Styela clava: one gene and its partners. The protein of the gene in region 4 interacts with the protein of the main gene of each other region in a pairwise test. Links are inferred from orthologs where the notes say so. Each region holds a gene or a part of one and is shown on either strand. Other genes may lie near its edges. The genes, in order: proliferating cell nuclear antigen; 3-hydroxyanthranilate 3,4-dioxygenase-like; calreticulin-like; cell cycle checkpoint protein RAD1-like.

Evidence for each region.
Region 1: the proteins of cell cycle checkpoint protein RAD1-like (region 4) and proliferating cell nuclear antigen interact in binary tests that used the Caenorhabditis elegans proteins (3 or more experiments, as listed by UniProt). The link is inferred for Styela clava from reciprocal best matches to the Caenorhabditis elegans genes mrt-2 and pcn-1.
Region 2: the proteins of cell cycle checkpoint protein RAD1-like (region 4) and 3-hydroxyanthranilate 3,4-dioxygenase-like interact in a two-hybrid assay, tested with the Caenorhabditis elegans proteins (2 studies listed by BioGRID). The link is inferred for Styela clava from reciprocal best matches to the Caenorhabditis elegans genes mrt-2 and haao-1.
Region 3: the proteins of cell cycle checkpoint protein RAD1-like (region 4) and calreticulin-like interact in a two-hybrid assay, tested with the Caenorhabditis elegans proteins (2 studies listed by BioGRID). The link is inferred for Styela clava from reciprocal best matches to the Caenorhabditis elegans genes mrt-2 and crt-1.

The regions. Positions count from the first base shown.
Region 1 is NC_135262.1:17,046,841-17,053,169, forward strand, and holds proliferating cell nuclear antigen, read right to left. Parts: upstream 2,425-6,329; 5' UTR 2,263-2,424; coding exon 1,468-2,262; 3' UTR 517-1,467; downstream 1-516. Other genes in the region: splicing factor 3B subunit 3-like, read right to left, coding at 375-477. UniProt on the Caenorhabditis elegans protein: This protein is an auxiliary protein of DNA polymerase delta and is involved in the control of eukaryotic DNA replication by increasing the polymerase's processibility during elongation of the leading strand.
Region 2 is NC_135252.1:20,678,387-20,686,061, reverse strand, and holds the start of 3-hydroxyanthranilate 3,4-dioxygenase-like, read right to left. Parts: upstream 3,019-7,675; 5' UTR 2,897-3,018; coding exon 2,811-2,896; intron 1,953-2,810; coding exon 1,874-1,952; intron 725-1,873; coding exon 641-724; intron 309-640; coding exon 112-308; intron 1-111. Other genes in the region: SET domain-containing protein 4-like, read right to left, coding at 3,793-5,199. UniProt on the Caenorhabditis elegans protein: Catalyzes the oxidative ring opening of 3-hydroxyanthranilate to 2-amino-3-carboxymuconate semialdehyde, which spontaneously cyclizes to quinolinate.
Region 3 is NC_135260.1:6,839,784-6,847,274, reverse strand, and holds the start of calreticulin-like, read right to left. Parts: upstream 3,030-7,491; 5' UTR 2,955-3,029; coding exon 2,870-2,954; intron 2,118-2,869; coding exon 1,991-2,117; intron 1,494-1,990; coding exon 1,315-1,493; intron 853-1,314; coding exon 542-852; intron 62-541; coding exon 1-61. Other genes in the region: uncharacterized protein LOC120347616, read right to left, coding at 7,149-7,371. UniProt on the Caenorhabditis elegans protein: Molecular calcium-binding chaperone promoting folding, oligomeric assembly and quality control in the endoplasmic reticulum (ER) via the calreticulin/calnexin cycle.
Region 4 is NC_135258.1:12,550,602-12,556,992, reverse strand, and holds cell cycle checkpoint protein RAD1-like, read right to left. Parts: upstream 1,399-6,391; 5' UTR 1,351-1,398; coding exon 523-1,350; 3' UTR 508-522; downstream 1-507. Other genes in the region: tyrosine--tRNA ligase, mitochondrial-like, read right to left, coding at 1-277; protein FAM227A-like, read right to left, coding at 2,104-3,795. UniProt on the Caenorhabditis elegans protein: May be a component of the 9-1-1 cell-cycle checkpoint response complex that plays a major role in DNA repair. Promotes DNA double strand break-induced cell cycle arrest and apoptosis, thereby playing a role in genome stability.

The DNA of each region.
Region 1 (6,329 bases), on a different chromosome or scaffold from region 4:
TAGCCACCACATTAATAGAAATCAATTAAAACAGTAAGTGCAAACCCCTCCCTTACGTGTCAGTCAGGTCCTCCGAGCGCAATTTAAAAAAAAGTACCACAAAGGGAAAAAAAATCAGCAAAAAAACGTGATTTTGGTCACATGACAGCCGACGTAGTCACGATCGGTTTAAATTATCATAGAGACAAGCATGGCGCAATAGTTTTTGTTTCATTGGACCAAATGTCACATCATATTGGAACCGTGCCCTACTGATAATGAGCCACGAAAGAAAAAAAGTTGAGAACCACTGATTTAGAGTCGTTGAGACTCTTAATTCACCAGTTACCATCTACGTTCATTATAAAACACAAGTTATTATAACTAAGCCCTACCTCTAGACAGGGCAATCTCCTGCTGCTTCGTGCCAGAAAAATTCCCATGGACAGCATGCGTTATTGTGCTAGCTCGTTGAAGTGTGAGAGCATAGAGAAACATTTTGTTATGAATGTGTCCAAATAATCAGATGAACAGCTCCGAACACAACCCTCGCGTTGTTCAATGTTTTATATTTTTTATTCAATATGAAATTCTAAAATATGTATTAACGAACACATGAAACACAAGTTAGAAACTGAGAGGCAGTGTTGATTATTAAGAGAAACCATGATGTTAGTATTGAAAAATTTACACCAATAATTATACAGATAGGACAGTTGAAAAGTTGTCATTTTTATTTGACAGAATTCAATTAATTCGGAGTTATAATACAAGATTAAATAAATCGAAACCCTTCTTTTCATAGGAAGTTCACTACAAAGTTAAATAGCACTACATAAATTTCAAATATTCAATTCGAATCTTGGAAATAATTAATTTAAGAGAAAGAGCTCTACAGCAAAATACAAGACAGTTTGAAAAAACAACAATATTATATATTTAAGGCCAAAGTGTAAATTGTTCAATCCACTAATATTTTATCAATAGCAATATTCATCCAACATGATAAAGCAAAGATGTTTTTTGAGGTTTCATTCGATAATGCAAAACAAATCAATCAGCTTGCACTGCTGAGAACCCAAGATGAAAGAAACAAATTAGTCAGCGTGTCGATAATTACCAAAAGGAAGGATGAAGCTATAGCTTTGGAGGTGAGTACTTCCATAAATGGAGCTGACCTTGGAGTAACTTCGGTTAAGTTGAGAGGGAAGGCAGGTCAAATGAGGCCAGTTCAGATAAATTGACAAGAGAAATCAAGAAAATGATGTTTTCATATTAACAAAGCAATCGCCATAATATGGAATTTTATCTAATCCAGTAATCAATTGGATGTTGGTGAATGGGAAAGTCAATGGAGCAGTAATCATAACTGATATTTATATCCTTATGGCAGTGTGTATAATTTATTGACCATAAGCCAACTAGTACTGTAGTAGTCTATTGTTTTTCCTTTTATGAACAAAATGTATGTGAAAACTAGAAGTTTCTTCAACTGTCTTGTTCTTCCTCATCTTCAATTTTCGGAGCAAGAAAATATTTGATGTGACCCATGTCTGCTACTTTGTATTCAACAACGAGTGGAACATTGTTTGACATTGATAAACATACAGATGGTGAGAGAGGAGATGCCTTCGCAAATAAGTTCAAATATTTTATCGCGAAAGTCAGCTGAACAGGCTCTGATATTTCGACGGTCACTTGCTCTTCTTCTTTGATATCAGAGCCAGTATTTTGCTTAAGTTTAATTTTTCCAGCTCCTAAGTCTCCTTTTGCAGAAAATTGCACTCCATCTTTAGTACAAGTGATGACAACGCATTCTCCAATTTGGCTTAAATCTCGGCAGATTCTTCCGAATTCTTGGGAGGGAAGTGTCACGCAACAGCTATAATCTTGCTCAGGGATTCCGAGTTGTTCACAATCAAGGTCCATCAACTTCATTTCGTATTGAGAATATTTATCACCTTTCGATGATTCGAAAATCAATTCCAACATATCAGCATTATCTTCTGCTCTTAGGGTAATAATATCGTCATTTCCAGCGCATTTCATAATTTTTGCCATGCTTGTCATGTTGATGCCCATGGCCAGATTTCTATCGCATCTGAAGTTTTCAAATCCATCTGCTCTTAAAGTTAGTTGCACTAGTGAGACGTGGGAACTATCCATTGCTTGTAAACTTATTCCAGATGATGTGCAATCCCATGATGCTTCTGTAACAATGTCTTTCAATGCTTCTTGTACTTTCTTGAGATTACTACCTTGGATAAGACGCGCTTCAAACATTTTGAATGTTGGTGATAAAGAACAAAATAAACGGTTAGGAGGCTATATCGACGCGAGAAGATCGGCAGCTAGCTGTCAACTAAAGAAAACCTCAACAATAAAAAATCTAGACGAAATAAAAAGCGGGAAGAAAAAAAAACGTTCTGGCGGGAACAGCATGGCGAAGTTACGCATGGATAACACAATAAATTGTTCTTACGAAACAGCGCCACCATTTTTTACAAGTAGACATGAAAAAAGATAAATGCAAAAAAGAACAATACTGTACTGGTTAATGCCATGTTTTCCCAAAAATAAGAATAAAAAAGGAAGAAGTATTTATCCCGGGGGAGAGCGGAGCCTATAATACGGCTTAACCATATGACGAACCACGGCCTCTCGTCTGGTTATCATTCCGTGTCTGGTATGGGATTAGTTAGTTATTGGACACGTCATTGTACATAACGATCGTTTCAATCAGGTATTATATATACATATAGGCTTTGGTTTTAATATTATGTTGTTGATCTTGTTTTTCTTCTCCTTCGTCATGATAAAATCGCTTTTCTCTTCGAATACTGGACCAATTGCTTTGAAATTTTCAGTGGTTAATGATTTTTCGCCAGAAGTCTATTCTTTTACTTAATTTAAAAATTTCTGTGGACTTCAAGATATTCGTTTTTTATGTGTCAGAATAAAAAACAGCGACACCTTGTGAAGTGTCCATATATTTGAGCATAGCTGTCGTTTTCGGAAGCATGGACTTAATAAGACCTAATAAGACTGTGTCTTATTTCAATTTCATTTCGAAAAACAACACTATGGCCTGTTTAGGGAGATGTATTATATTTTCATTTATCAAAAACGAAATTACAAAGTAGAGAATTGCGAGATTTTCAAATATACAATATATGAAAACCTGTATCCATTTACTTATTATTACCGTTTTCCTCTTTTTAGATTAATCATTTTTAAAAAGTGTGGAAGAGATTTCTCACTATCGACTGAGTCAAAAAAATTTCCCGGGTTTTCGAGGCTAATGAAAATTTAGAAAAGTACATAATAGGCAGAAACATAAAGAGTATTTAACTATTTATATATATTTATTTTTTGTAATATATATTATTAAAAGTGCGCATGAATGCTGTATTATTTGAGCAGTTCTTGATTTTCCTTGTAGCCTGTATATACCAAGACCTGAAAAAGAACGTTCGACATCTTCCATGTTTATTTACTGAATTTGAATATTCAAAAATCAACTTTATTTAGACTGAAATGAATTGGCATTACATAACGTTATATTAGATTAAAGCGCAAATTGCCTCCGTATAATTCCATAGAGGATTTCGATACAATCTAATTTGGAATCGGGATGGGGGAAGTAGAACTAGCCCAGTTCAAAGCATGTGGTGGGATTTAGCCGGTTTGCACCGGTTCTATAGAACCGTTTCACGGAATTTTATGAGATAAGCAAACCGGTTAGCACTACTGGATACTGTCAATGGATTTTTGCATCTTATCTGACACACCGATATTTGAGATCAAGTAACTCACGTGTTTTTTTTTCGAAATGTAAAATGGTCTCGTAACATTTCGCACGTAACAGTTATACGTTGGGTTACATTTGATAATTGTAGAAATTTTCCATTTGTGATTGTTTGTCTGAAAATTGAATTTATTTGCTAAAAAAATTATGACTTTTTGTAACAGAACCGGCTGAAAAATATGACTTTTGTAATGGAACCAGCTGACATAAAATTTAAATCCCACTGTTGATTCTAACTCTAATCACTTTTTTACATAATAATAAATCAAGTAACTAGAAGTCTATCGTACGTAAAACGACTAGATTAAAACGGCGTAAGCGACAACATATATACACAGAAAAAATATTCAAATGTCCGCGGGCCCAAAGGCAAGTAACGAGCAAAATGAATGCTCTTCACGTCGTCGGTTGGGGCTGCTTTTCTCATAAAACTCAATACATGTGGAACAATTATCTGCTTGGTCATATCCATCCTAAAATGATGCGTAAGCAAAATGTAGTGGTTTGTCATTTTGATAAATCCGTATAATCGGATTCCTCTCACGGAATCAATATGAAAATCCTATCGTTCTTCACTTTTCCTTCTGGCGGTCTAGAGAAAGCCAAACTAAACAAAATATCATATGAACATTGGAAAAGCCATTATACAACCTTATTTTTTTATTCCTGCATTATGTGACTTCACATAACTCATTCAAGTTTTTATTTCGCATTAAATATCAGAATACAGAACCACAATTGAGACTGAAATAAATTAATGAGAGTTTATATCCTCAAATCGCATACACTAAAATCATTCTCGCTTGTGAGAAAGACAAGTATGTGGTTTCTTCGTTATTTTCGAACCTGTTGAACGTTTGCGCCTTTTGGGTGAGATATATTTTCCATTTCCCCTTATCAAATACTTCTGTTTTGTAATTCTTGTTGATTTTATTTTCTTCGCAAGTGGTTTGAGTATTTTCAGGCTCTTATTTTCCCTTTTCGATGTCTTTGCTTTAATTTTTCTTTCATCGGCTTCAAATCTTCGCCTTCTTTGTTCATCCCATTCGTGAATTAACATGCTAATAACGCTGGTAAACTGTGGCTGAATTGGGTGCGCATGGCTTGCTGAAATTGTAGATCTTGCATTTTGATTTCTAGATGGCATTGTTTTTTATTTTTCTTTCTTATAAGCTTGTCAAATTCTGCAATGTACCTAAGTATTAGATTGCCCTATTTATATGTCATCATGCTAGAAAAAAGTCCTTATCAGCTCAATAGTGATCCGGCGACTGATAAGCTTGTATTTGATTTACAGCCTTTTTTCGTTATCAGGTGCGAGTAACAAACAATATCTTCGGAGCGTTATCATTTTTTGCAGTTAGGTGTTGATTATGGCTTAAAATATTCATCTTATCGGAAGCGCAAATCAGATATTGTGTAAGTTCATCTATTGTCCAAGTCCATCTCACACAATGATATGCCAATGTTATATCCTATGGGCCTATACTACCTCCGTGCTAAGTTTATGAACTACATCGATCAGTGTAAAGAATGCAAACATTGTTTGTAGCATGGAAATGTTCTTACCTGAAAGGGCCGCCGTTTCGTAATATATGGCCGCTGAAGCAGTAATTCTATTTCCTAGCCCAGGGTTTGCCAAACTGGGATTCGTGATGACTGCTGCATATAGAGCCTGCAACGATATGTAAAGAGTCTGATCGATCTTTAATGATTGATTTCAATCGAAACGCCATTGTATCTTTTTGGTTGAGCGTTGCGAACGAACATGCTCTGCCGAGTCTACTTTTAAATGCGCCAGAATTTGAAAGCGAATTTTTGTTTCATGACAATTACAATTTTAAATGCCTGTATATCCTGTACTTTTATTTGTTCATCTTTTGGTAAAAAGTTTTAGATAGACCTGTCTCGTGTCAAATAACATTCCACAAACCATTAGATGATAAACAAAATATATATCTGCTGTGTCTTTATAGAATTACAGAAAGCATTTGATACAGTTGATCACAAAATATCATTGCATAAGTTAACTTCATGGGCCTTCCACATCGAGAAATTTTTGTGTGAATGAGCTCAATACGAGTCATCATCTATTACAAATAGGTTACTACCAGGCAATCTTCCACATCCTCTTGATTCATTCTTGTCACGTATTTCGGTAAATGCTGTCTAAACAGGAACTCCGGCAATTTTGTTGGAGTATTATAGAACAAATATAAATTTACTTCAAATATAAATCCACGTTACATTATCCCAGTAGCTCCCCACCTGGGGGTATTCAGATATTACGCATCCACAAAATCGAATTTTTCAGAGATATGGCACATGAATGCTTTGTTGCACAACACGGATTGAGTCGCATTCAGATATTTCTGATGTCACATATGGAACTCAATTGTCAGCATTTTGTAATCGGTATTTAGTTGCGCTACTGCAGAGGTCGGCAACGTTTTTTACGAGTGTGACAATTTGTAATATTCAATGTCAAAATAGACGTTTGCGTGCCGATGAAAAATTTCGTTATATAAACAGACCTGAGGAC
Region 2 (7,675 bases), on a different chromosome or scaffold from region 4:
AAAATATGACTTTTGTGTGATGGAACCGGCTGACAAAATTTTTGAATCCCACCACTGCATACATCGCATGAGAAAGAATAACACAAGTTATTCATATAAAAATAAACTTACTCTTTTATTATAGGCACAAGTTCCGATCCTAAGTCATAACAATGAAACCATCTTTCGAATAAAACCTGCGTTGTATCGCCAGTGTAATATCGAAGGCCGTCAGTCTCATTATCTAGTCTGTCTCTCTCAATAACTAAACCAACTGTGTTCTCTTTTCTTTGTGGTGAGTGCGGAATACGGGCTGGTAGGAGAAATACCTAAAACGAGATGATAAATATAAAATGCTTACTACGAACAATAGTATTGTGTTTATGAGGATTCGCTCAAAGCGACATCATGTAAACTCAATCCCAATTTGATTCTTAAACAGCGTTCTACGAGCATATATCGTCATATGCAGTAATTTTCTATGAAAAGTTTTAAATCACTCAGATCGAGAATGAGGGCTCATACGAGTGTGTTCATTAACAATAATAGTAGTTTTTTTTTTTTTTTGAATCGGGGGCCAAAATCTCTGAACTACAAATCTCGTATCAATCCACAAAATGTATACACATTCATGTAATCAAATACAGATGTTGTTGGTTACCTCTCCCTCTTTTATTACAACATCTTTATGTTTTCCTTTCTCAAGTATCTTCAGACACATATCACCTTTTACCATGTAGAAAAGCTGAAAATATAACAAATGAACATCCTACAAGCAGCACATTATAAATAAAGGCTCAACTAGGCTAGCTAGCATTGACACCCTGCATGGGTTTGCAACTGCGAAAAGACTAATCTCTGAGCATGTTACAGTCAACAACTGAAGATCCAAAAGTTACTGAGAATATAAGGTGTTAGAGTGTACAAATACACTGACTGATCCAAAATTTGAAGTTTAGGTCAATTTAATTAGGAAAACAGCTGTCGAGTAGTAAATTCTACATAGAATTTACATATTTATCCCGGGGAGAGGAAAGTCGATAAGACGGCTTAACCATATGGCGAACCACGGCCTCTTGTCCGGTTACAGGTCCATGTCGGGTATGGGATTAGTCAGAAAGTTATTACTTGTTGTTAAGTATGTTGTTAAGTATGTTGATAGGTATTCGTCTGTCTGTATGTCTGTCTGTTTGTCTGTTAGATGCACGCGATATCTCACGAAAGCGAAATTGAATCTGCTCCAGATTTTGCATGTGCATTCATCTTATCTCGGACCAGAAGCCCATTGATTCTGGGCGAATTATGTCATATAATCAGCGAGTTATTAATTAATTAGTGATGGGACACAAGGTGTCACTATAGAGTAAGAGCGCTGTTTTGGGGGATACCCTAACTTTCTATGTTAAGTCATCGGTCTCTGACCGATATTCTCGTTTGTATTTTGAAGCGTCTACTTGATAGTGGAGGAAGCCGTAACCTAGCAGCGGTTACATAAACCAACCTTACAGTGGTGAGGGGTCCAGCAATCCTCTCGCACATAACTATTCCCGTATGGGATTGGAACCTGTGTACAATCCAAATATGAAGTTTCATAGAGACAATGACACTGACCGATCCACGATTTGACAAGTCAATATGATCAGAAAAACAGCTCCCGAAGTATGTGCACCAAATGGCGCACAACTTGAGTATATAGTATGTGTACCAGGTTGGGGTTATCAGATTGTGCACCATCCTGGTGCACACACTTCTAGAACGCCGTGAATTCCATATACCGTAACTGAAGTTCATGGGAAAAACTTGGGGCATGAAATTTCATTGACTTTTCTTGCCTCTCAGTTATATTGAAAAGCCTTTCCTGCCATGTAGTAAAAATATTTGAAGATTCACAAACCTCCTCTCCCTCTTCATGGTGATAATCTTTCCTCTCGTTTGGTCCTCCAACAAACATCACTTTCAATTGTCCATTGTGCCTAAAAATTTGAAGTGGTTATTTTAAGCCACTGTCACGTCAGCGAAATCCTACATAAAAATATACGATGGTATAAAAGTGTGTTCCCACTTTGCGAAGTATTTCTAATCAATAGCCACGGAAACCCTAACGAAATTTTAGACTTCATTTGTTTAGTGCCATTAAATTATTTTTTATTCATAAATTTTATAATGAAACACTTTTTATGACATCATATTTTTGGGCAGCAAGATTTCGCTAGCGTGACAGAGGTTATTTTAAACCCTGAATTTTCGAGAGTAGCAATTCAGAAACACTATTTACACGATCTGTAATTGACTGGGCGGCGTGACGCATCATCGCTAAGCGATGGGAATACACTTGCCACCGCACCTCTGATTACCCTGCGTGGGTTCGTAGGTTCAAATTATGTGCGAGAGGATTGCTGAACTCCTCGCTACTTTGAGGTAGTTTACGTAACCGCTGGTCGATTATGGCCTCCCCCACCATCAAATCCATGCATCTGAAAACAAAATAACTGGCTAACTAATGCCATACCCCACATGGACTGGTAACCAGACGAGGGGACTTGATTTGCCATATGATTAAGCCATCTTATAGACTTTCCTCTCCCCGGAAATAATGTGTGGATGCTATCCTTATAATACACTCGTCTCATATTAAAGTATGATTTACACTCAGACTCTGTTACTTATCTCCACAATTATGGAGCAAATATAAAAAATGATCATTTAAAAAAAAATTACGCGTCATCATATAAAAGTTACTGCAATTTTTTTTTCGACAAAATTAACCACATATTTGATAACTCCTATACTTGAAACAAAACCCATTCTAACACACATAAAAGGCAACTTACATCATTTTGTTGCAAACAGGAGGATCGAAAGAATTCTTGTTTTCTTCGATCCATTGCCCTACGTTTATGATACCAGGAGTTGACATAATTTTTGTGTTAAAAAGAAATTTAAATTAGGAATCTAAAAAATAGAAATAGTCAGTGTTAGTTTTTATGATGCTTATTCAGGATTTTTGCTCTGAACAAGGCCCTACCAGCCTACAAGCAGCCATTGGTATCAAAGAATATGTTGAAAGTTAAGACTGAAATCTTTCTGTTTCAGCCTAACTAACCTTTACACCAGGGGTCGGCAACCTACGGCCCGCGGGTAACATAATCCGGCCCGCGACGCTTCACTGAATTATAGTAACAAAACAGCTGTTTTGACGATTATATTTTTCACGTTACACAATCCATTGTGAGAAGAGTGTAGACTAAATAATATTATATTCTAACAAGTATATTAAGTATAATTCACAATTACTCGTTTAATCAGCCTATACTTTAATTATAATTAGACAAATGACAACAAAATGCAGAAAAGTTGATGCTAAGTGCAAAGGGTTCAATGGTGCCGAAAATGCAATGTAAAGAGGAAATAAATCTACATTCTATTCGAGAAATCACCCCTTCATTTTTATTATAAAAAGTATCATCCGTTCGGTTTTCAATTTCCTAGAAATATATCTGCGGCCCGCCAATGACTTGCAACCATTATTTTGGCCCACGAGCGACAAAAGGTTGCCGACCCCTGCTTTACACACTGGGTAAGGTAATAGGTACCAGGGTTGCAGGTATCATACATAACAATTATTTTCCGTAGCTTGAAACGCTTTTTGAACCGTAAAGCCTCATGCAAAACCACATTTTCTGGCCGGACCAGCTAGCCATTACAGTCCAACTTGGCAAATCAAGACCCCCCCTCCTTGAAAATTGCTGTGTACACCCTTATTGGTGGGCACGAGATTTGTACCACAGATGTGTAATGTTAACGTAAGTAAGTCTAATGTCCAAATGCTTCTTCTATATTATGTAACATAGCAGCTTCAAAGATATTAAAAGTAACTTGGTATAAATCAGAAATAGTTTGGTATCGTTCCTTATTTTTGTCTTCAATAATTTTATCAGAAACCTCTTTAAACTCATCGAGAAACTCTGACTTCATATTCTTAATTAAATTCGTTTTTATCTCATTTGCATATGATAATATTATAAAAGGAATTTTTCCATCATGAATCTCAGTAATAAAACTTGAAAGTTGTTTTTCTTGTTGTAATATTATTAAACAAGATTTAGGATTTTTACAAAAATTTGATTTATCTATGAGAAAATAGAGCTTTGATATGATTAATATTGTACATGAGAGATTATATGATAACCCAGAGTAACTTAGTGACCAATCCTTATTTATATAATGAGAATTTAAAATGAAAGTTAATGTTTTACGGCATTTTGAACATAAGGTTTTTAATTTCATTGTCACAGATAAAATGTTGTCCAAAGAAACATTGAAAGTATCATTCGGATTCTGTCCAGGTACTATAAAACCATATTCAAGGAATAAATCTTCAGTGCTATGCGGTCCATAAGAAATGAATATTTGTTCGAATTTATTCCATCTTTGTAAAGTATTGATCTCGTAAGCTTTGGAAATTTGATTATAAAAACCATTTACTTTTGCTGAAAAACTATGATTAAAAAGATCTAAATAGGGGGCAAGGTAGTAATAATCAGATGGCGATTTCAAAATATTTTTGATGCTCAATTCTTCATGGTTTGAATAAATGCAACGAGTGTTCACACAACACCATGCCCAACGATACGCATCCCACAATAATGCAAATTTTTCCTGGCCACAATATGAATCAAATACATCTTTTACTGCAATATAGTCACTTCGAATCTTTTCATGCAACAGTTTCACTTTTTTCTGGATCGTTTTCGGTAATAATTTTATATCCTTTGCATCCCAGAATACATGATGAAAGTGAAAAGTCTTTGGCAAGGTCTTTATATAAACATCCCAATCAAATTTGAATCCATTATCAAGTTTATATTTTCCCTCCATTAAAAACACACAGAGAATTTGTAAGGAGGTGAATCTTGGCATCTTTGAAGATGACAACATAAATTGAGCCCATTTCGAAGCTTGCAGAGCTTTTTTTGTTCCAATGAGGATTTGACAAGGTAATGATATCAGCGTGTCTCCTTCTTGATAGGTCTTTTTCGCCATCATTCCACGGCCAGTGTCAGAAAAATTTGCAGGAACAAGCCCATTTGATTTAAAATTCTTTTCTTTCATGAATTTGAGTAATTCTGTGTAAACACTTTCATGAGAGACTTGTTCATTTAGGTTTTGAGATACCTTCTTCCTTTTCCTCTTGCGCTTAGTTCTTCCCATGCCACACATAAAAAATTATTTTAATATTTTTTCATCACCTACAATAACAACAATAGCAGTTACAGAGTTGAAGTTTTCATTTTTAAGTTTTATGACAAAGGTGTACAAAAATTGAGAATGTCTTACAGTCTTACTTAGGCCCAGTTTTCGAGTCTAGTATAGTTTAGTACCACAGGTACTTCTAGTAGGCGTAGCATAACGAATTTTGCATATGTTATCCAAAAATACGTCACTACGTCGTCACCATAGGGCTTACCAAATAATAATTACGATCGCCTGAAATGGCATCTGCGCCGCCGATAACGAACTCGCTAAAGCTGGCGATCTTTCTCCTATCGTGATCGTTGTGACAAGAAAACGAGAGAAATAACTTGCTTGATTTCAAGTGATCGTCTGCGCGTTTTAAGCGACCACTCGCATACTTTGGTGGGCCTTATTACGCCACTGTGACGTCGAAATGACGTAATTTTTCAGTGACGTAGTCAGGTGGGGGTTAGGATTGACATATGCAAAAATTGTCGAGTCAGACCAACTAGAAGTGCATGTGGTACTAAACTATACCAGACCCAAGTTTTCCCTGTCAAAAAGAGTTATAAAGTCAACTAAATAAGTTTTATAGTAGCCACTCACCTGCATAGCCACTTCAGTATATAACCATGTAGTTACTGCTGTCAGCTATACTACACATGCACCATGCCTGTCCAGACGAAATTTTTCAAATTTCCGTTTGACATTTACTCCCCAATAATCAGACAGCAGGGACGTTTAAAAATGCGGAGTTACTTTATGTTTACTACTTGCAAACACTTCTTTATTGTTTCTCGTTAACTTCTAGTTACCTATGGGCTGTATGGTTAATCAATGCCAACGACTAACATACCTAATAAATCATTGCACTTCAGCGTTATGTCACGTAGACAGACGATAGTGCAATACGTGACAGCATGTGCAGGCTAAAACAATATGACCTAAATTAGCGCTCTTTGAGGAGTATACACTCCACTCCAGAAGTATGACAGTGCTGCAGTGACGCCGGTACCGGTACTGTGTTCCATAGTTGGCAATGCTAAAACAACGAATACCTTACGAACGCAAATCAGCGGTAGGCACCGCAGAAACGACAAGCGCGTTGTTATCTTTATTTGTCTAATATGCCCTATTTATTATCTCGGACCCTAATAATGTTGGATGTTGAGTTTCACTACTTACTGACTTATATACTTGTACTGCTGATTATCTCGTCTCATTTAAAATCACAAAACGAGTCTCAGTGGAAAGGTCTGCGCGAATAGGGCTCGAGCGAAGGTTGTTTACGAAATTTATTTGCGGCAATCACGCTTGAATAAGCCCTGCACCCATTGCTGGTTTCGATTCCGAACGGAAATTCCCGAAGAGCAATTTAGCAGATTTTCTAGCGTCTGAGCATGGTGCGAAGAATGAAGTGCAGCTTCGTAGTCCAGCTGTGGTACTTTTTGTTTTCGGTTCATCTCATCAAAGAGCGAAAGTGAGGAAGATGAGTTTTCACCATCTCCTTGAATTTACTTTTCAGGAATGCTTCTAGAAAAGTGACCGTACATTTGAACCCACGTATATTTGATTTTGAACCCATGTGTTGGCCCAATATATGCTCATTGGTTGGCCTATATCCGCGGGTTCAATCTATATGCGGAGGCTAAAACCCATGGGTTAGGGTTATAATATCCGTGAAGCAAAGAAAAATTCCCTAGGTGCAATCGTATGCAGGTGCAATTGCCGTGGGTTCAAATGTAATGGAACCTTCTAGAAATGGATATGTGGCGTGCCGCGGCATCTCGGCCGGTTACCATGCAGTCTATGTCGGGTATTCTACAACCGATAAAATGACTGGGGGTGCAAATATACATGAGAATACCAATGTTCACAAGCGCAAATGTACAATACATGGAGCAAAAGTACGTCGGTTAAACATTCTTGGGTGCAAATGTCCTCTGGGGCAATCTACGTGCGGATACCAAAATATCTTAACCGTGTCGTTTTCTCCGAACAAGGCTGGATAAAAGCCGCTACTGACATCTAACATTTCCTTAAAAATCTCTCTACAGACTCATTTCGCTTCGAAGTTATCCAAGGTATACAAGCGCGCATTTTCATCGATCTCGATCGGTTCATTTGGTGAAAGTATTATCGGTAGTAAGACAGTTTTCAGTAAATCGTTCAGGAATAGAGTAAAATGATATTGGTCGCCCCAGCGACAACTATAGTACAATGGTCCAGTCATTCGGGTATCAACCACTGCAGAGGAATATGTGAAACAGAATGATTTTGTTCCTCCCGCATCGAAACTTATTGAGCCAAACCAAAATGGTTTTTCGACTTTGTTATTATAATTATATGATAATAAGAGTGATTTCCTGGCGTTCTGCGCCAAATTGTCGTCTCACTTTGTTTTTTATTGATATATTTCATGATACCAAAGATAAACATATAATATTATACATTTAATCAA
Region 3 (7,491 bases), on a different chromosome or scaffold from region 4:
CATCCCAATCGTCAGGTTTTGTGGCATCAGGATCAACAATGTGTTCGGGCTTGTCCCAATCCTTCAGATAAAAATGCAAGTTAATACTAAACAGCAGAAAAGAGTAATAAATATACATCTCTTTTGAATTATGCTATGTAAGACATTTATAGTAAATAAAAATACAAACATTGTTACTTAAAAATGAGAATTTAGACCACTGATTAAAATGTTCGATAGTCTTCAATGGTTGAAAGCAGGTCAATTTCAGATTTTAGCAATGCAATATTTTTGCAATTATTAAAATGCATCTTTTAACAGAAGTTTTAAAAGATATTGCATCAGGCCCCGCAAGGAAAATAAAAGGATAGCTCAAATATGACTTGAGATACTAATAATTTATTAATTTTTTTTTAATGAAGGTTGAGAAAGGTAACAGGTGACAAACCAGTGCTCCCAATGTGCACCAAGATGACGCACAACCTGAACATAGTATGTGTGCCAGGTTCTGATTCAGGTTGTGCGCCATTTTGGTGCACATACTTCCGGAGCGCCAACAAACCTCTGGTTTTGTTGCATCTGGGTCAGGGATCTTCTCACGTTCGTCCCATTCTTCCTGTGAGGGTTTAGATTGATCAGGATCTTTAATTTCTTTTGCTTCCAAGAAATCCCATTCTGTTTCAAGGCTTCCGGATTGTGCTTTTGCATTGTCAATTAAAACTTCATACGTATTGTCTGGTTTCACAATTAAGGTGTAAACGTGTGTAGTTTCATCATCCTTACATCTGATATCTTTCTTAATTAGTAAATTCTTTCCCTTGTAATGAAAGATGACATGCACTTTCTTAGTACCTGGCCCACAAATATCAGGACCTGAAATGAAAGATTATTTTGGTAAGAACAAAACGTAGACACACGTTTCAGTTGCTACATCATTGCCACTTAGCAAAAATATGGATTACGTAACACGACAAACACTTAAGATGTTCATCACCAAACCGGGTATGTGAATGATACTGATGAATATTACCAGCAAGAAATGTCCAATAATATTTTGTTGTATTGTACAATGAAGTTCGTTAAAACATACTTATTAATGATGATTTAATTTTAGAAAGGAAAGATCAAAAACAAGAATTTTTTTTAACCTAGCTTATCACTAACTTTATTCAAAGCAATAACTAACAATTGATATATTTTGTACTGCCATATCAAGTATTTAACAATAGTTAGCTCTCAAAATATCTGGGCCGGGCTAGGCTTCATTCAACAAGAACAACAGTAAGTTGACAATATTCACATCACCCTGCATTCAATGGTCAAGTCATATCTTACCAAACATAATGTTATATTGTGAATCTCCATGCATATCTTCAGACTGTAATGCAGATGGGAAAAGTTTGATATATCCTCCTCCGCAATCAATATTTTGTTCATGCTTGACAGAGAATTGAATGACGAGATCTTTATCCTCATTGGAAAATTTGTCAAATTTAGAAGAAATTGCATAGAATCTAAAATAAAAAAATTTGATACGTCACTACAATACAAACGAGACTCAAAATAAATAACAGACAGAGAGCATATAAGATCGAATACGAGCAAAATCTTCCTGGGTGGGTATACTATTCACAATTTGCAACTACACAATCTTTAAACCACAACACTAATAAATTTGGTTCAACATGCTGAATACTACTGTGGCCTATTAAATTGTCAATCGAAAATTAGGGTCTAGTATAGTTTCATAACTCAATTGCTTCTAGTGGGCGTAGCCAAATAATTTTGTGACGTCGTAGTGACGTAATTTTTGGATGGCCTAGTCAAGTGAGGGTTAGGATTGACATACAGACATAGGGTCAAAATCCTCACGCTACGCCCGCTAGAAGTACTTGAGGTACAAAACTACGCAAGGTCAGAAAATTAGAACTCGATTATTTTTGGACTTAAATTTTCCTCAATTTGCAGATTTCTGAAAAAAATCTTCATGAAAAGATTATCATTAACGTACTTGGCATCTTCACTAGTTTTGAGTCCTTTATCCTGTTCTTCATCATTATAAAATTTTCCTGCTGTTAAAATCCATTTTCCATAATCAGATTTGTGTTTAGATTCTTTCCACCGAGCTTCCCAATCCGCTATAAATAATAAGAAAAATACTTAGGCTGTTGCATTGGGAGTCTTGAGGTTCCCATCAGTGAGTTTTTTATTATGGTATGAAGATTTATTATACGGTACTTTATATAAGAGGCGGACAACTCGACTACACAGACAACTCAACAGAGACAACTCGACTACAGAGAGTTCTGGTGAGTTGTCCGTCTCTTCGGGTTTTCTACGGCAACATTTCAAGATTATAGGAGTGTAACTTCGATCTTTTCAGGGTTACAATGTTGAGAAAAACACATTAATATTCTCTAAAAGGCATTTTTATGTCTGACGTTATAGAACTGTGTTCGTTTAAATTTTCGAATTATAATGATACAGGACAGAGTGGTCCAAGTATGCGAGGATGAAGGGCCGCAAAAATTTTTGAGGAGTACTTGCGGACCCAAAAGTGATCAAAGGTCGCGAGTTCACTCACTTCAAATATATTTAGGAATAAAGAGTTTATCGTTCTAATCAGTTTTTCAAGGAAACTATATAACAGCATAAAGCTTTTAGTTTTTAGTTTTATTACGTTTTAAATTGTTTCCCAAGAAATAAGGTGGTATTTTCGGTATCTTTTCTCGTGTTTGGTTTTGAAATGAAATTTATTCTTTTGTGACAAATGCTACTTGAAAACACACCCGACACTGTGGTTTAAGGTTGTTGTGGGAAATACGTTCAGACGTTTACTTCGGTCACCTTTTTCTAAACCAGTAAACTTAAATTTTATGAAAACACTCACCGTCTGTGAAATAGTCTTTGAAGTATACCTCCGCATTGACTTTGGCCAAGACTAATAGACATATAAATGTGACAAAGAATTTCATTTTTTATTGTCCTAATTACTACTTTATTGGAACCCTGGTTGATGTGAAAAAGATTATTAGAAGAAAAATAAGCCCATTTGAATAAACTCAAGTACACTGTCACATACTTCGCAAATCTAAACAAGCTTACACTTGTATATCAACTAAAATGCATGAATCTATAAGGCAATTCGGCTGAAAACTGAGCGTAAGCTTGCCGCAATACTCTGTAGCAATAGCAAGCGTGTACCCTGAATGAACGCACACGTAAAAGTTACGTCACTGAAAACAAGAGCTGGCTCGCTGTGATTGGTCACGCCACCGGTTGAAACTCCAATCATACAACGCCACAGACGTAATACGAGGTCTGAAACGAGGCGCGACGGAAGGGAAATACACGCAGCAGATTGTTGGCAGCAGGAGTTTCCCCCTATTTGTTTCGGGTATTTATTCGATAAAATAAACATTGCGGAGGAATATTAGGTTAACCGTGATCTGTGACTGGTATTACTTCCATCGCATAGGAAGTATTCGCGCACGTCGGCGGCTGGCGGGTATCACCAATCGCACAGACTGAAGCCTACATTTGTATCGGACTGAGCCACTGATAAAATCACTTAATATGGAAGAAAACAGGAACGGAAAGATGCACTTTGTGATCTCTTTATGCTGAATATGAGAACAGTTAATTGATCATAATAAATGCTTATTGTCATATCACACAACAAAGACGTCTTGCTTTTATATGTGGGTGCAAATTCAACTTCATTTGAATCTATATACGGTTGCTAAAACCAATGGGTTAGGGTTAGTATGGGTTCAAATGTACGGGAACCGAATCTATATCCATCCATAGTTTTGCTGATTTCTCAAACCGAAATTATCTGCTTTAAGATGTATAATACATAATCTAAAATTCGATTAATAAAAAGTACGCACACTATGTACAGAAAATTCTAAACTCTTTTTCGAAGTTCAGATTCTTCACAGATGTCACCTGTATCGGGGACACGATTCCAAGCATCCTTTGTTACCATACCCCGATGTAATGTACAAATTTTCCCCAATCTGTGTTGTCAGCGCCGTTGATTACGGTGCCAGCCTGGGTTATACTCCAACAAAATTGTACTGAAACATAGCCTAAAGAAATGGGGATGTACAAAAAGATAGAATATCAGCAGTATTCTACCGCTCAATATGTGATTTGAGTAGAAAAGTTCGTTCTGTCAAAACTGTAATCTCGCGCATATTTCTTGTTCTCGCAACTTGGTTGCTTACAGCTAATCAACCCCGAAATGCAAAATGGCCACTTACCTCATATCCAAACTTGGAACTTTTCTTTGAGGTGTTTGGCGCAATTCATTATGACAATGTGATTCAGGCGTGACATTATCATTAAAAATGTGAACGCATTTGTCACAATTACCACAAAGTTTGCACATTCTGATTTTGCTGATGTATGTCAGACAATCGAATCAATATAAGTTCGGCAGTTGAATGGGCTAATGCTGAAATGAAGTGCTTTGTGATCTAGAATAGATCATAGGTTCTCAAAGTGCTCCGTACGGAGCCCCAGGGCTCCGCGAGAGAAACCTAGGGGCTCCGCGAGATATTCGATCAAAATACGGACTTGGTTATTCTGTAACTGTTAATAAGCAAAAACACCAATAATAAAATTCGAGCGCACAATTATTGTATTGATTTCAGTAACTACGGTACAACACCCATTGATAACCTAACATAACATCAAAGTTTGTGATTCACAATGTCTAAAAAAGCGTTTTTAATCTGTCGCGAGTCCGCTAAAATAAAAATTATCATGTTTTCTTCCGTTTTAGTATTATATAATACCGCTTTCCAATCAAGAAATTTGGGTTGCTGATTCACCCCCTTATTAATTATTTTTAGCATCTCGTCGCCGATGATTATATTGTATTAACTTGTTTTCCATACTAAACTCACAATTACGCACAAAGACAAAAACGTAATTATCGCATTCGCGGAACAAGCAAGAAAAATGTGTGATTAGGGAGAATAAACACCACATATAGATGTTAGGGTCTAACTAAAAAACACGCATCGCTACGAAAACAATCGGTGATTACAGCAAAATGCTATCGCGCATGTTATGAGCGACTTCTTCATTCTTCCAAAATATCAAAAGAGTATTCATTAATATGTGTGTCAAATTTACAGGCCTAATATGTATAATTTATCCGTGCAATTTAGAATAAAAAGTTTTAGCATTTAAATTAGGTAAGGTATTTTTAACTTACTCAGGAATATTAATCACTAAATATCAACATGTATTTTTTGTCTGCTTTATTTTCAAAATTTATTTGTGGGGCTCCGTGAAGAATGGTCAACCTCTTCAAGGGCTCCGTAACATCAAAAGTTTGAGAACCCCTGATCTAGATCATTGCTCCGCAACCGGTGTGCCGCGGCGCACCGGTGTGCCGCGATATGATACCAGGTGTGCCGCACAGGAATTGCAACTCTTCTCTCTTTTTTACAATTTTTTTTATTCTTTGTTAATTTTAATTTAGTCTACTACTCTACTCTACTAACGTAAAGTTAACATGTTTCTACGTTAGCTTGAGCGACACCAAGTCAAATTTCTGTCACTGTGCATTTGTGACGTAGGATAGGATAGGATTTACATATTTATCCCGGGGGAGAGGAGACAAAGATGCTCCAAAACCAGTCTGCATTTGTGGGGAGCAACTTTCAAATGAAGCAATGGTTCCGAGTAAACTTATGCGCCACTTAAATACGAAATACGGTTTCGTGTCAAATTTGGCGAAAAAGCACTTAACTTTAATACAGCAAAGATAAGCACTGGTACTTTTTCGCAATTAACAATGAACGATACGACTGGATCCGGAATCCTTTCTCAACTAGTGCTGAAATGTTAACGAAAGAATTACTCCTGCGTATTCGAGAAAATTTCGTTGAAGTAAGAAATGACAGACGCTAAGACTGAAATTCAGCAAAATTCCACTTGATGTGTTTTGAATTTTAATAAAAGAAGAATACAGGCGCACGTTTCCAATGCAACTATTGAAATATTGCTCCAGTTTTGCACAACTTATATGTGCGAACAAAGTTTTTCCTCTTTATTACTGATCAATAACGATAAAAGATCCTGCATAAAAGATGTTGACGGCGAACTTCGAGTTGCTCTTTCACGTATTGATCCTAATATATAGCGATTGTGCTCATTAAAACAACCACAAATCTCTGATGGAAATATGAACATAATTGTTGTGGTGTGCCGTCGAATTTGGCAAGTTATATAAATGTGCCGCAAGTTAAAAAAAGGTTGCGTTGCGTGTGCAGGCCAATGTAAATCGTATTTTGTCTTTTACACATCGGGAAATTCGCTAATGTTTGATTGATATTTCTTCATAACTACCATGTGATATTGAAGATGTCAATATAAAAATTGGTAGCGAAAAAACACAAATTAGTTGAGCTAGTTTGGCTGATAAACAGGTCAGAATCCTGTTCTCATTTCTACACGCGGGGCTGAAGGAGAGCATGTCTCAGAGTTATCGGAGCCAATACCGCGAACACTATCCCTGTAAGCAAAAAATAATATCAACATCCATATTCCAACTTATTTTTTAAAACTCTGGATCAGATTAAAAATCCTAATATATCGGTCTACATTTAGCCGATACAGCCGTCTTTAGTAGATAGGCCTACTACCACGTAAGTAATATTTCTCAGCGTGATATAGTAATGGACTAATAATACGACGATGCTGCGATTTTATCCACCCACTTTTCATCATTCATATCGGAATTTTGACCCGATAAACTGCCGTATAAAATTGCTCTCTCATCGTTCTGCATACAGAAAAATGAAGTGTGATTTTATTTGTGTGTGAAATCTCAAATTTATTTCCAAATGTACGCAACATACATAGCACATGCGTATTGCAAAATGACAAAAATGATTCAATAGTCATATGATTGTAAAAGTTGAAACCAATGGAAACGTGATTTACAACATTGATTTAATTCGATTACACATATATATATATATACAGGCAACCCTACATCTAATTCGATATATGCTAACGCAGGCCTTGAAGATCACGCCGTTCTGCTGGGAGTCTGCTGTTTCAAACCTCGACGTCGGTTGTCGTAGAAATGCCGTTGATTTAGCAATTTTGTGAAGCGAAGTTAATCCTGCTGTGAATTCAGTTGTTCATACATCTTGAATTTCAGTTTGAGTTGACGCTGGCATTGCATTTACCACGATTATTGCCGATGATCTTTTGTCAAAGTGTTTGTCTTGTTTATGCAATGTACATTGAGCTGTGGCAGATATAGAATCACATCTATGGTGATCATCGAGATCAAACACTTCCACACTGCCGACATCAGTTACAGTTTCAACGTGAGATGGTGTGCACGAGCCTCTGTGAATTCTGTAAAAAAAAATAAGTACTGAATCAACTTGTTATATAAACTCAATTCATAAATTGCCCCAAAGTGTATTAATCCTAAGTACGAATGTAAACCGACCCATATATATGTATCTGTTACTG
Region 4 (6,391 bases):
GTAGCATTAAAGACATTAAATTTCCAATGTGTAGACTGTCGGATGTTGGATCAAAGCCACAATAAAAGCATTGTTGTTTTAATAACTGCTCTGGCAATGAGACAGAAGCATTTGGAAAAATATCTTCTAAAAGTCCTCGCTTGTGCAAGTTAAGAATGTTTTGTGGCTTTATCACTGAAGATTTTTTGACGCTGTTTTTTGCGCAGGACATTGAAAAAAACTTTGATGTCCATTTATGACAAAATAAATTACGATATTTAATAATGGGACACAGCATGCTTATGCTATTCTGAAAAGAGTGTAAAAAACAATAAGAACTATGTGTATAAACAACATTTTAAAAGAAATTGATGATTGAAAGCTAAATAACCACTGACAAATGAAGTGAAAATCTAAAATTACTGATGCCATCTGTACTTTCCCAGCTATTAATACTGTTGATTTAAGGTCTGAATGGGTTCATATTTAGATACATGAATATTTTTTGCTAGTTTGCACAGGGTAAAATGGTTTGTGTTAAAGTCAAACATCTTCTTCATCAAATTTTTCATCTGGACAACAATAATATTCAACAAAACAAATTTGTCCACTTTCATTTTTGATCATGTATTGGAAGGATAAAAACCCACGATGATCCATTCTTATACAGACTTTACTTGCAAGATTAACTGCTTTTACGGAAGGTTTTAGCAAGGATAAACGGTACTGATTTGACTGCGGCTCTGAGCATTGAAAGATTTCTACCATATCAGAATCTTTATGAATATCATTATCTGTTCGTCCACAATATCCTGAGCTTGAAAGTCGGAAATATGGTTTTTGTGGAGACATCGTAATCTCAACCACATCAGAAGTGTGGTCTAACTCGTTAAAAGCGTCTCGCAGACAATCAGCTTTCATTATAATTTTATTAACAACATTAGCAGCGCAGAATTCAAAATCTAGAGTCTCTTCTGACTCTTGCGTCTTTATACTACAATCAGTTGTAATGTTTTCTTCTTCTAAGGTTAGAGTAAGAGGTGAACCATATCCCCCATAAACCATTTTTAACGATGTTGTCATAATGGAACTACTTCCAAATATAGTTAAACACTCTTGAAGAACGTTCAAATTGATACAGAAGTTTACTTCTTCATGGACATCATATTCATCAAAAACAGTTGCTTGAATGAAAGCATTAGCTTGCAAACATTTCGCATCTTCTACAGTTACTTTCAAACCGTTTTCTGTTACAAATACAGTTGCTACATCTTTGAAATGTATCGCTTTTAAAATGTGTGAAAGATTTCTTGCATTACCAAGTTTGGCTAGGAATGTGTAATCCTCATCTTCAAGCGTTGTGCCATCCATTTATCAATATTTATAAAGTAAAACAGCTTTTTTGGATTAACAGTAATATCTAAAAATAGAACAAATCATTTTATTATATGCTTGTAAAACTATAATAGGCAATAAGCACACAAACATATTATAAAAAACAGCATTGTATAGTCATGGCAATGACATTTCATTAAATTATGCTGTAACAGGTAAGCTACAAACATTTGAAGATATGTTAGGTAAAATAATACCATGAAGTACTCTTTTTTTGGAATTTGTAATAATAACTAAAAAAATATCATTCTATTAAATACTTGTAACAATACAATGGGCTTATAGGCACGCAAAAATTTGATAAATTACATCATTGTATAATCATGTCAATGGCACCAACGAATAATTTTAATCTAAATTCATTCAAAAAACTACAAACAGTTGAAGATATATTAGATAAAATAATATCACGAAGCACTTTTTATGGAATTTATGATAATTTTCGAAAACATGTCATTTTATTATATGCTTGTAAAACTACAATAAGCACACACAACTTTGGTAAAATACATTGTATCAATTTGTATGGTATAATCATGGCAATGAAACTTAAATATATTATAACTATAAAATTAAAACTACACTTGAAGATATATTTAGGTAAAGTAGTAGTACAGCAGTTACGAAAATTACAGTGAACAATAGATGTTAAAACTATGACAACATAATACAATTTATATATTAATACTAAGATAACTGATAAGGCACAGTGATATGTTATCTAACATTTTAATCAGCTGATTCTGCAGATAAAGCAGCTTGAACTGTTGCAGTGGCACCAACCGGATTCGTATCTTCTTCTAAGTTCTTCATTTCCATCAAGATGAGATTACTAAGATAGTGAACTTGACGTGGCTTCGACAATAATTTATCCGTTTTCTTTTTGAAATTTTGTAATTCCTCTCGCTGTTTTGCACAAAAAGATTTGTGAGCTTTCATGTCTTCTTCGTAAATATGTTTGAAAGATTGTGCTGCGGCGGATGCTTTAATTCTGCTCTCGTAAATGATGTCTTGATAGGTTTGGGCATCTTTAGCTGGTGGTGTTTGAATAAGTGAATGCTGGACTAATACATCAAAAAAGGATTTTTTCTCGAAACCATATTGACGAGAAAATTGAACAAGCAATGGTGAGCGACCATACACGTTGAAGACATTCCTTGAAAACTCCATTGCACGCCCAGCAGCACAAGATGAATCGCTTTTTGGTGCAATAAACTTCGTTCTTAATCCAGCAGTGCTTTCAGTGGTTGATGTCAAAGGTTCTTCTGTAATTGTTGAAAGGGCATTTTGCTCAGATGCTAATTCCGCAACACGCGGTGTTAGTTTAGGAGAATGTGCACAAGATGCAGCATCTGATTTAGCAGTATGCATTCTTAATCCATGCGTTTTTTGAGATCCAGTCGGTGATCGAATTGACGATGTTTTAGTTGAAGCAGCGGAGCTGTATGAACTTGCTCTTCCACCTAGAGACTTGGCTGCATGATCAGGTCTCTTTTTCTTTTTTATAACTTCCTCCTTTCGCATCCCATCTGGCTCTAAAGCTGCCATATTCCATTTTTCATAAGAGCGAGGTGGCGGTGGAATACCTGAAATCCATTCGCCGCAAACTTGAGCTAACATTTCCTTGAACGCTGGTTCGTCAAACTGCCTCCATGACTGCGGAAATGCAAGGCAAAAAGCAGCATAAATTGATTGAGCCAGAATTGTACCATAATTAGCGAAAAACAAATCTCTATACTTCGGAATTTCAGCACTGAGTAACAGACCAACAAAATTGGTTGATATTCTTTTAAAGAGCTTGCCTTGGTTGATTGGATCAGGATGAAATTTTCTCAAGAAAAACCACCAGAAACCATCTTGCAGTATCGATTCTTGCATTTTTGAAAACAGTAGTCTGCAAAACTCCCGACGAAACGCAACTTTGTGTTTCAAATCTGGTTGAGCAGCGACAACATTATCAAGCACCTTGTTAGTTTGTAGAGAATGCGGTAGAGGAGCACATTTCTTCTTATTCCATCCTGGGAACTGCTGGAGTTCAACCAATCGAGGAGCGTCACTTGATTTTGCTCTTGGAGTTCCAGGAGCTTGTTTTTCTACATCAGCACCATACTTTTTCTCTGAAGGAGTTGTTCCACGAATGCTCATAGAGGGAGAATAGCTTTCAGCATAAGATTCAGTTCTCTTTTGCGGCTCTGGTGTTCTACTGTCAATTTCAAGCTGGCTCTCATATTTTGATAATTCTTCATCAAGATTGGTGATTCTTTGGTTAATTTTTCCAATCGTACCAACAAGAAAAGAAGCGGGCGATTCTTTTTGTAATTGTTCAAGAAGACGAATTTTGCTTTGTACTTTTTTGTCAACATCGAATAAATCCTCTTCACATAAGCTCATAGGAGACGCGATCCTACTGATGTGTGACATTTTTCTTATTTTTATACCCAAAAAGCAGTCTTTGTTTGGAAAAAAATTACTACATTATCATTCTAAAATAAGAACAAAATCCGTTTACAGTATTGCAAAGCACATAACCTAGAAAGCGTGCAGTGATTATCCCAGTCAAAAACCCAGTGTAACTAAAGTATAGGTCATTGGCATAATTAGTCTATATCTATACTAAATATAAATTCAACTAAGGTTATATGGCTGGGATTTAGAAACAATTATTTAATTACACAACTACAAGCGACAGTGAAATAAGTCAAAATAGCATTTTGGACATTTTTTAGGTTGAAATATTATGCCATATTGAGATTCGTTGAAGGCTGTTATATTGATCCATATGCAAAAATCAGGATAAAAGTTTAATTTATTGTCACAAAATTTGACACATCTTTATAGCAATAATTTGGATCAAAATTTCAGAAAAAAATGCCAAAATATTTTTTTAGGAATGAATCTGGAAATGTGTTTAGCATTGTTTAGAAGTGAATGACTTGATTGTGTTTGTTGATGCTTGTTGGCGTTTAGTTTCAGTGGGTGAATTGAATTCTAAGGACAAAGTTTTTAAGGACTTATTTTATTTTAATACAATTACCTTGATTCAACTTATTTTCTCCAAATAACTATGAAACCATTATAGAGTGTTTCATATTTGCACTCCGTCAATAACATATCAATTTAAACTCACAATAGATAGTGTATACACAAACACAAAAACATTAGTTATATATGATTTTTTGCATTATCCATCGATGTAAAATAATGTGAAACGGTATGGAATACCAAATCAAAGGATTCACTGAACATTCAAATAAGATTGGTGTCATTGTCAAAAACAGACTTTTTATAATTTAAGCAATATTGAAATATAACATTTAAGATGGCATTGTATACCTATGCACTTAATAAACAAGACACTTTTGAATAATATTATATCAGATATAATATTGCATAAAGTGTGCAAATTTCAGAAAGTGATTGTAGAGGACATTTATGTGTTTCAGGATGAAAAAAGGATGAAGTTTTTTTGTAAACTAATATTAAACAACAAAATTTTCAACCCAAGATTTTGTGCTTTATTTTTATTATTCCAGAATCAAAATGGAAAAACGTTTGCCACTTACTAATGATTGTAAGCACTGATTATACCATGTTTAGTTGTAAAAAAATTACAACCAGTGTTAACAAAGCACAATCAATTTTGAATCCAGAATTTTCTAAACATTTTTGCATTGAAGTAGTATGTAACCAATAATTGATGCCATTCAAAGAAACAACAAATAGAAACTTTTGACTAAAACTAACAATTTTTATAAAAAATGATATTGAGGCCCCAAAAGAAAGGCATCGGGAAGCACAAGTTTTGGTAAAACTTTTCAGTCACTTTGAATTGGAACAACTTGATAAGATTTAACAATGATTGCACAATGCATTCAACAAAATAAAACCTACGCTTGCTACACTATTGCCAGCGATCAATGACTGCATTTCTATCAAAAAACAATTAACCATGGAACTTGGCTTAAAAAATCTTAATAATGACAAAGTACATGTAATCTAGCGATCAATATTTAAATTCAAAAATTGTCTTATTTTTTAGACTTTAATAACCAACTTTGAGCAGAATATTATGTAGTTGTATTCATTTTTATAATAGAACTAATAATTTTCAACTCTAAAGCTTAATTTGAGAAATAAAGGTTTCTAATCTAATACCCTATTACATATTTAAATGAAGGACAGTACCACATGAAATACATCTTTATAATCAGAACTAAAAATTTTCAACTCTGAGCTTAATTTAAGAAAAAAATTGTTCCAAAACTAATACCCTCTTACGTAATAAATGAAGGATGATACCACTTTAAGGATATGCACCCTAAACAATTTCATAAAGTAACGTAAATTTAGTCCTAAAATATGATTGGGCACATTTTTTTCTGTTAACAATTAGATTTGGATGAATGAATATGAAACATGAACTACAATAATACCATACTAATCAATTCAAATTGAGTATGTATAGCATGGTATTTTTATTCCTGCCGCAACATCCTTGCATTATACGCATACACAAAGGCATTGAGGAAGGATTGGGAGTTAGTGTCACGCAACCTCTACTGATAGTTAAAATAATATCGTCCACAATTAATCCCCAACTTCAGTGAATTTGATTAGCAATAAAAATATTGTATAATTCCCACTTTTAATTATACACTACGTAAAGATTACCTAACAATTACAAGAACATATAACACAAGAAATGTTACAGACACATTTTCAAGGCGATTCTCTCTCTGCTGTGTTGTAATCAATGTGGCAAAACCAACACTAGATCATAAATTATTTTTATCAGCCAATATGCAGATATAAATTACATACCTTACAGGATAATTAACAAATTACATACACTAATGTTTGTAACATCTGATAAAACCATAAATACAAAATAATTTGCAAAAAAACAGGACAAATACATGCACCGCAGCTGTGCCTAACTTTAAATTTTTGCACATGCATAGAGTTTGATAAGAATTTCATATTTTCATCAGAATTTAGATGGCAACAGCTGCTCTGG